Linked DNA regions of Tribolium castaneum. The protein of the gene in region 2 interacts with the protein of the main gene of each other region in a biochemical or structural test. Links are inferred from orthologs where the notes say so. Each region holds a gene or a part of one and is shown on either strand. Other genes may lie near its edges. The genes, in order: frequenin-2 and Dop2R.

Region 1 (4,284 bases), on a different chromosome or scaffold from region 2:
ATTTTTACATTTTTTTACATTAAATCAATAAATACATTTATATAAAAATTGTTATCGTATTTAAAACAAAATGTCTAAAACGATTACGTTTTCCAAAAATGTTATTTCTTTCCTCAATCCGACTCATAGTAGTTTAAGATTTAAGTCTAGGAAATTAAAGATTGTCTTATAGTCTACTAATGTTGGTTAGTGATCCTTTAATTATATGTTTAGTTTCGAGAGTTTAAAATAATTATTTACAATACAAGGTGCAAAAATGGTGGATGCGCCGGGCTCCACCAAAAAAAAAAAAATTTCTAAAACAAATTTCAGCGCAAGAAATTAAAGTCTGGCATTATTTTAATGTTTTAAAAAACTGTTTTCATAATTTTGTTTAATTGATGTGAATAAGGTTTTCTATTTAATTGGACTAATTAATAGCCAGTGATATGTCCTTGTGCTATTTTTTTAATTTCAGTTTTTATATTATATGCTGCACTGCATATACATCAAAATCTTTTTTAGAAGCTAATTTTACAGTTAGATATTTGCTGAAAAAAATCAAAATTTAATTATAAAATCTGACCATTTTCTTAATCAATTTTTATGAAAAGACAAGACAGTTTGACCTTCCAAACTTTTTGGTTGCCTTGTAGAGACATTTATTTACTTTTTTTGAAATGTATTACTTATTTATAAAACAGGACACAAGAAAAATGCCTGGTAAGATTAATTGTAACCTCGGCGCAAAAATGGTGGATGCGCCGGGCTACACCTACTAAATAATCTCAAGCGTAGACTTGAAGAAATTAATCACTGTAAATTTTTCCACCAAAATACAAAGCCTTAAAGTATACAATGCAGAAACACGTTGCTGCTGCTGATAAAAGTCTTTGTGCTTCGGTTGTCGTACTTTTCCAAGTTTGCTTTTAAATATAGGTACTCGGATCAGATTGTGTCATTAACTTACCAAATATTTATCATAAAATTAATTTCTGTTAAAGGAAGTATCGTCTGGACGTAATTCAAAGTTATCCAATTGGAATCGCCCTTTTTTGCGTTTCTCGTGTAAATGGGCGTTATTACTTACGATAATTTGGTCGTGAGCTACCAAACCTCATTCCCATACGGCGACATTCGTTAAGTTAACTGCAGGATGTGCGACAGTGAACTTCGTAGGGTAAAGGCGCAAGCGTAACTTCTATCTACCCTGTACAGTAGGAGTTTGAGTGTTACCCTTTAGTATTGTGCGATCGGTAGAAATTCGTACGTTGTTCTTGTAAGTTGGAAACGAAACACTCCAACATGGGTAAAAAAAATTCCAAGCTAAAGCAAGACACAATCGACAGACTCACCACCGCCACATACTGTGAGTTTTCTTGTGCAACTTTATGTTTGTTTTCAACTTGTTTACAAAATGTGTCACCAGCTTGAGGCACTTACTTTCCTTTTATTAAAAAAATACAACACAGTTTGTGTTAACACAACTTATGTAACAGTGTTTCGGGTTAAATTGCTTCAAACAGCTCGGCTGTAATTCATCTTAACTCAATTTTCCTGAGGATGGTATGACAAGACTAACTCATTTTTTTGTCGCAAAAGAGAAAGTCCGCTGCGTATATTTTTCTTCTTAAATAGATTGTTGAACGTTTAGACCTTGTTTGCTCTATCAACACCATTTAAGAGAACAAACAGTGCGTAATGCGTTTGGACGTGGATATTACGAGAGCTAGAAATAAATGATACAGCTTTTAAATTTACATAGGCGGGCAAATATCTACACCCTGAAGGCAAATAACGCCCGAGTGCAAGTGATTGGAAAACATGTGCGCAATTTCCTTACGTTTCTCCAAATTCAACAGTTACTTGGCCACTAACATCCAAATCCCTACACCTTTTTTTTGCTCTTAATAATTAATGCTCCCGCAATTATTACGGGACTAAGTACCTGCTAAACGTTACACCTATTCTCTAATTAGCTGGTCGTTGTATTTTCTGTGGTTTGTTTTCTCTGTTAATGTTTTCACTAATTTGTAGGCAATCAGTTCAAACAACACCCTTATTTAAAGCATCAATAATTTATTTCTGGAGCTAATTTCGCGTCTTCGACGTAAACAGCCATCGTGAAAAGCGAAATGGCTTTTTATTTATGATTATTATTTATCATTCCGTAATACATCTCAAAACTAATTTCCGTTCCGTCCCGAACTGTCCTAGTTATTTTATTATTTATCAATAACGTATTATTGATCAACAAGTGTCTCCAATTGGTTTTCGTGCAATAAATATTTTTTTAAATAAATATAAAACCTTCAACTTTTATAACCTGTCTGGTTACGCTCGACGCCTCGAAATAAAAATCTCTAAAAATAACATTTCCTTAATATTGGAGGTAATAAAATTCGACATTTTTCGCATTACCATTTTCCTAGTTTGTGCGGAAACTTTTGCACGGAGGCATGTTGACTTTTAGAGCTTTTATTTGTTGTTGGAATTTAAAAGTCTTCTATTCTAACAAAAAAATCTTTAAAAATTTAAATTGTGGAACTTTTGTAATAAAATCACCGCTCCGTTTACATCAACGATTCAATGTTCCCTCAGTTGGATGCATGTGTTTTAATCCAACCGCAAATAAACATAGTCCTTCTTGACATTTTTTGTGTGTGTATAGGGTGCAGAATTTTGAATATGCGGATAGGAGATCTTCCAAACTAAGAGGTTTAGAGAAAAAAGAGTGACACATTCTCGGGTCCGTTTTTTGAGAAAATACTTTTGGGCAAAACCGCATCCCGCTATCGTTTTTTGTTTTCGACTTATAAACAAAAGTTGACATTTTAGCGAAATCTTAAAAAATTCATATCTTCCTTATTATAAAAGATACACATTTGAAACAAAAATATTATAAAGCATTTTTTACAAAAAATTTATTAGTGTTATTTGCAGTTTTTTTTAATCATTTGTTTAACTGTAATAACACAAAGTTGTATTTTTTTAAATAGGAATCATAGTTGGCGGTGACATTTTCGAAAAGCTTATTTTTTTCTGAACTGAACACAATATAAATACAGTTTGATATTTTTATATACCTTTGATAAAAAATATATTTAAAATATTTGAAAGTAGTTTAATTAGGATTTTTTTTAATTTTTTCATGGCCTACTATATAAAAAAACGAAATGTTATGTTTTTTTAATATTTAAAAAAAGATATTACACAAATAGACATATCAAATCAGAAAAAATAAGCTTTTCAAACATATCACAGCCACCTATGATTCCTATTAAAAAAAAAATAAAACTTTATGTTAGTACAGTTAAACAAATGGTTAAAAAAACGCTGATAACATTATAACATTTTCTGTAAAAAAGTGCTTTATAATGTTTTTGTTTCAAATGTGTATCTTTTATAATTAAGAAGATATGAATTTTTTAAGATTTTGCTAAAATATCAATTTTTGTTTATAAGTCGAAAAGACGATAGCGGAATGCGATTTTGACCAAAATTATTTTCTCAAAAAGTGGAACCGAGAATGTGTCAATTGTTTCAGAAATCCCTTATTCGGATATTCAAAATGCTGCACCCTGTACAAGGGCTCCACTATCCTATAGTTTGCTTTTAGCATCAAATTATAATTTTAAATACAGTGTGGAACACGTAAAGTGAATTTACGCCACGAATTATGTGATAAATTGGGAAATATGTGGAAGGAGAAATCCATTTTACTCGTAGGATAAATGATTTCATTTCCGTACTTGTTGCATAAATAACTAATACTGGCGACGGAGACCTAATGACTGTAATTTGGCACTTATTGTTATGACACTTGTGGAGTAATCATTTTATGACAACAATCCAGCTACTGTGCAATAAAAATAAGTTTAGAGATTTTTCTGCTAATTTCGGGCCGATGAACATAAAATCTACGTTTTGCTGGTCAAAAATAGAAGTGGGTGAGTAAATCAGTTACACTGAACAAGAGCGCATTACGTGTTGGGGTGTAAAAGTGTTTCGGGCGATTAAAATCGGTTGCATGTTGCACGTGGGGGGTTGATGGGTTGATGTATGCTTATATCCTGAGCAGCCCATCCTTGGTATCACGTCAGTTGAAGGATGAACTTTGTACAATCGCATGCTGGTGGCAGATTGAGACCGATGTGCAAATATGCCCTTTAGGTAATCAAATAATGGAGCGCAACACGCACGTCTTCTGATCGATTCGATTAGTTATGAGGGAATTTATGAAACAAGCTTTGCGAAAAAGAAAGGGCGACACCCACCCAGTTAAGAACATTATTTGAACATGTT
Region 2 (4,405 bases):
GAGTTATCGAAATCACAAAATTCATAGATAAAGAGCATAAAGTCATTTTTTAAAATCAAAGTTTGAACACTAGCTGTTCAGAAATGTAAACGCCATTGGTGAATTCTGTTAAGTATTAAGTAACAACTCTATTTACATAGCGTATAAAAGCTTAGTTTGTGAAAAAAGTTAAAAACAAACGCAAAATTCAATTGTCAAAATAAAATATCGTACAAAAATTTTAATAGTTATTTATTCGACGAGTTTGAGTGTAAATCGGACGTTTTATTTCACGAGTGGTTTTTTAAACCTCGAGTGATAACGAGAGGTTTACCATCCACGAGGTGAAATAAATGAACCGATTTACACGAAAACGAGTTGAATACAACATTTTATTCTTCGAATTAGACTCAACAAGGCTTAAAATTGCTTAAAATCTGTTAAAAATAATCTGACGTTTCGTATTGAGAAATGCCAAACAGTTGTCAAAACTGTCTTACACAGGAGAAAAATCCAAAATTCTGACAGTGTCGAAGAATAAATACTTTTTATGCTGAAAAATAGTTGTTTAGTTGACTTTGGAATTTTAATGCACTGTGCCGCTTTGTCTAAATGGTTATTTTAATTTCCGTAAACTTCCCACATTTTACTACATTATTCCAAGAAATAAGGTTTCTTTTAGTTTACGTTTTATATTTTTGTACTAGCGGTTGTTCGGTATTCCTGTCGTTTAAATAAAATTAAAACAATTTTCCTTAATCATGCAAAAATGAGAAAAAAGCTTTATTATTAATCAAATTTTTATTTAATCGAGGTTTCAATATGCAGAGGAATAAGCCTTTAATAATCAGTCTGCATTAAAATTTACGCGGACGAAATCGCGGATGAGTGCAAGTTTTGTTAAAAATGGTGGATGCGCCGGGTTAGTTATAATTTAATTGTGTTAAAAAATCTTGTTTCTTGGGCTGGATTAAAAGTTTGTTGGTCATGTTTATTTACATTTCACATGTTTTTTATTGGAAAATTATTGTTTTTGCTTAATTTTTTTATATTGAAGGAGATATTTCTGCCTTTTTGCTTGATTTATCTCAATCTTGTGAAATTGTGTAGAAACCGAATGCGTGTCGCCTGTTCGAATGAGGTTTTGGTATGATTTGTGGCACTTTTAATCCGGCGGAGTAGTCGTGAATGTCTCGTTAGATTTCAACAAGTACGTCAATGCTGAGCCTTCGGTGCGTGTATCGGGACGCCTCTGCCGGAGACAGCGGGAGACAGGGCGGCGCCGTGCGCGTCGCTCTCCACCGTCGGCGTCCCGGCGCATAGCGCCTCTGTTTGTGCCCCGGAGTGCACGCGACTGTGTCCAGCATCGCGCGAGTCGGCTTCAAAGGTGCAACCGTCATGTAAACCAGTGCACGCAACCATGTTTCGTCTCAGCATCGCGAGGTAATTAAAATCCGGGATCATGCGGCCCGTCCACGCATAGCGTGCCACCCCGGAGTTGCGGGCCACCGGAAGAAGTTGCTTGTGTTATCCCGCCGTGAACATGATCCCTGAAAAAATGGACGCGAACGCTTCCATCGCCAACGCCACCCGGAACTCGTCCGACCCGGGCCTGGACCACTTCATGCTCCTCTTCGAAGACATCGACCAGTTTTTCAGCCATCTCAACTTGTCCAACGACTCGGATTACGCCACTTTCGAGCGCCTGTTCAACTGCAGCTCCAACAGCAGCAACAGCTCGTGCTTTGGGCACCCGGAGGCCCCCGGCAGCCGGAACTACTGGGCCTTGGTCCTGGTGCTCTTCCCCATCTTCACCCTCTTCGGCAACGTGCTTGTGATTTTGAGTGTTTACAGGGAGCGAACTCTGCAGTCGGCCACTAACTACTTCATTGTTAGTCTGGCTCTGGCCGATCTCCTGGTGGCCGTCGTCGTCATGCCGTTCGCCGTCTACGTGCTGGTGAGTTCAATTACGGTTATTTTTATCACCCACACCCTCGGTCCAGTGGTTATCGAGCCGAACACAAATCGGAAGGGTGGGTAATAAACATGACAAAGGGTCATCACCATCAGATCAATGTAGGCACTTTACGACCTGGATACGGGGGCGCTTCTTCTCGATGCACTTCAACCCTTCACTGTCGCGTGACAAAGATACATAAATTCACCCTCTTTTACAACGACTTTACGAAATATGAGCGTAATTAGCACGTTCAATCGCCTGTCGCGTGCCCTCTAAAATCGATCCGCAGCTTTACACTGGATTCACTTTGATTAATAGCAGACACTAATATCGATTCATAAAGAAAAACACTAAATCACAAATAAGAACTCGGACGAAAATACACAATTCTATCGCTTAAACGTCAATATTTGCATTGAAATGGCTTAGATATAATTTCGTTCAAGAGGGTGCATCTGACAGATCTACAAACTCAATTTCAGGCCGACAGATTTTGCGAATTATTCGCGCGGGATTTACATTTAACTCTTCATATTTTTCGACGGATGCAACCGGTTATACCAAAGAAATCGGCCCTATTTATCGCACCTTCTGACATCACAAAGGAATTAAAGAAGATTTTTACTGTGTATTTTGTTATAAATAATTTTTGGTGCAATTTGCTACGCTTTGAAATCATGCAGGTTTTACGGCAACTTGATCCAGGGCTGTGCCATGCAATGACACAATCAGCATCTCTCTAAGGGGCGACATAATTGAACCATTTAGCCATAAAAGCTATTGATAATTTTATATGCGGTGTTTTTTTAAATATTTTATTTTAAATACAGTTTCCTTTCGAAATTATTGCAGTCTGTGACTATAACTGTCTCAGATTGTGTAATTTTTGTAACAACAAAAAGCTGAGATTACGGAGAATTTTGGATAGAGTAGAGAAACTGAAACTAGAGTCAAAAGGAAAATGCGAGCGAACAGGCTCTTGGTGAAACCTTAAAAGTGGAGAATAAATTAAAATAAACTTTTTCATTTAGATTTTAATGATTTTTTTGGAAGTCGATGGCAAAATTTTCAGTTCTTATGTAAAAAAACTCAAAGATAGTACGGGATGTGTCCACGTATACCATATTGTGTGAAACCTTTGGATGTTTTAAATTATTTTAACAACTTAATTACGCTATATTCGAATATTGTTGTGGCTCTGAAAATTTTATTATCACACCAAGTGAAAAGAAATACAAATCGATGACGGACGGGACACAAAAAATTTACATTTTTATTGCTGAACAATCGTTATAAATTTCTGTTAATTTAAAAAGCACTAATTTCAACAATTATTTTCGAAGTAAGAGGTGGAACTTTTGAAACTTTTGAAACCACGAAACCGAACAACAAGGCAATGTGTAACGAATTCTTGTTAATTTACTTTTTGTTTTCACATGACGGACGGGACAATAATCTTGTGTATGAAAATAACATTAAAAAATGTATTCAGTGTAAATTAAAAATTATTGGTATCGCTACACGTCAGAAATACGAGCAATGACGGACGGGACAAGGTAAATTGTGTGCAGTTTTTAAGGGTAGCTTTCTGGACGACTCTGTCTTTGCCTTTATTATGGGGCAAAAATAATTTTTATTTCAGGTAATTTTAGGGTCACTGTGTAAAGAATCAGGAAATGGTGACCAAAATAGAAATGAACTTTTAGCGAGAAGCGGTATTATTTTTATTGTGGGCTTTGGAGCATTTAAATGACTCCATAAAGTGTCGGCTTCGGCCCGATTGGGTTTTCACCTTTTCTGATAAATTTTATGGCTGGGTTTGGGCGTTGCAGTCTGGCCGCGGTCCAGATTGGTTCGAGTGTTCCGTCGTCGTATTATGTTTTATTGCGTCACCTTTACGTTAATTTCTTTCGATCGCTGAATCCGGTCGAGCGGATTTTCCTTTTGTAGTATTGTGTAGCAATCGGTGCTTTTCCATCGGAAAATATTGCCTTCGGTTGATTAGTCGCGAGAAAATTGTTTTTGCGCATTTTAATCGAAATTGCGAATGGGAAAATTTAATTATACCGATGTAAAACTATTATGCGAGCTCGACAGCGCGCGGCACTCAACAGCTCGTAAATGTGGTGATGTGGCGGCGCTTTCCAGTGTCAAATTTTTCCTTGCACCGGGGTTTGGATTACAATTAAAGTCGTCATTAGGTGGAGTGCGGCTTTTATTTTCAATTTGGGTTTAGTGGCGTTAAAAGCGCGCTTTACGGCCGACGGGCTGTATTCTTGCATCGAATAAATGGGTGATAAAGTCGGTAACAAGTGTAGATGAAATATCAGAAGATTTTTGGAGCGCGATTACAGGAGCAATTAAATTTAAAATCGTCGCAGGATTGAAGTTTATAGCAATTGGAAAAGCTGCAAAGATATCTTAATCCGGTTTGGGGCCGAGCGCTCTCATTAAAGCAATGCGGCG

What was found.
Region 1: the proteins of Dop2R (region 2) and frequenin-2 form a complex in vitro, tested with the Homo sapiens proteins (2 studies listed by BioGRID, with this or other methods). The link is inferred for Tribolium castaneum from reciprocal best matches to the Homo sapiens genes DRD2 and NCS1.

Annotation. Positions count from the first base shown.
Region 1 is NC_087394.1:35,444,795-35,449,078, forward strand, and holds the start of frequenin-2, read left to right. Parts: upstream 1-1,170; 5' UTR 1,171-1,284; coding exon 1,285-1,348; intron 1,349-4,284. UniProt on the Homo sapiens protein: Neuronal calcium sensor, regulator of G protein-coupled receptor phosphorylation in a calcium dependent manner. Directly regulates GRK1 (RHOK), but not GRK2 to GRK5. Can substitute for calmodulin. Stimulates PI4KB kinase activity.
Region 2 is NC_087402.1:3,954,571-3,958,975, reverse strand, and holds the start of Dop2R (dopamine D2-like receptor), read left to right. Parts: upstream 1-1,522; coding exon 1,523-1,936; intron 1,937-4,405. UniProt on the Homo sapiens protein: Dopamine receptor whose activity is mediated by G proteins which inhibit adenylyl cyclase. Positively regulates postnatal regression of retinal hyaloid vessels via suppression of VEGFR2/KDR activity, downstream of OPN5.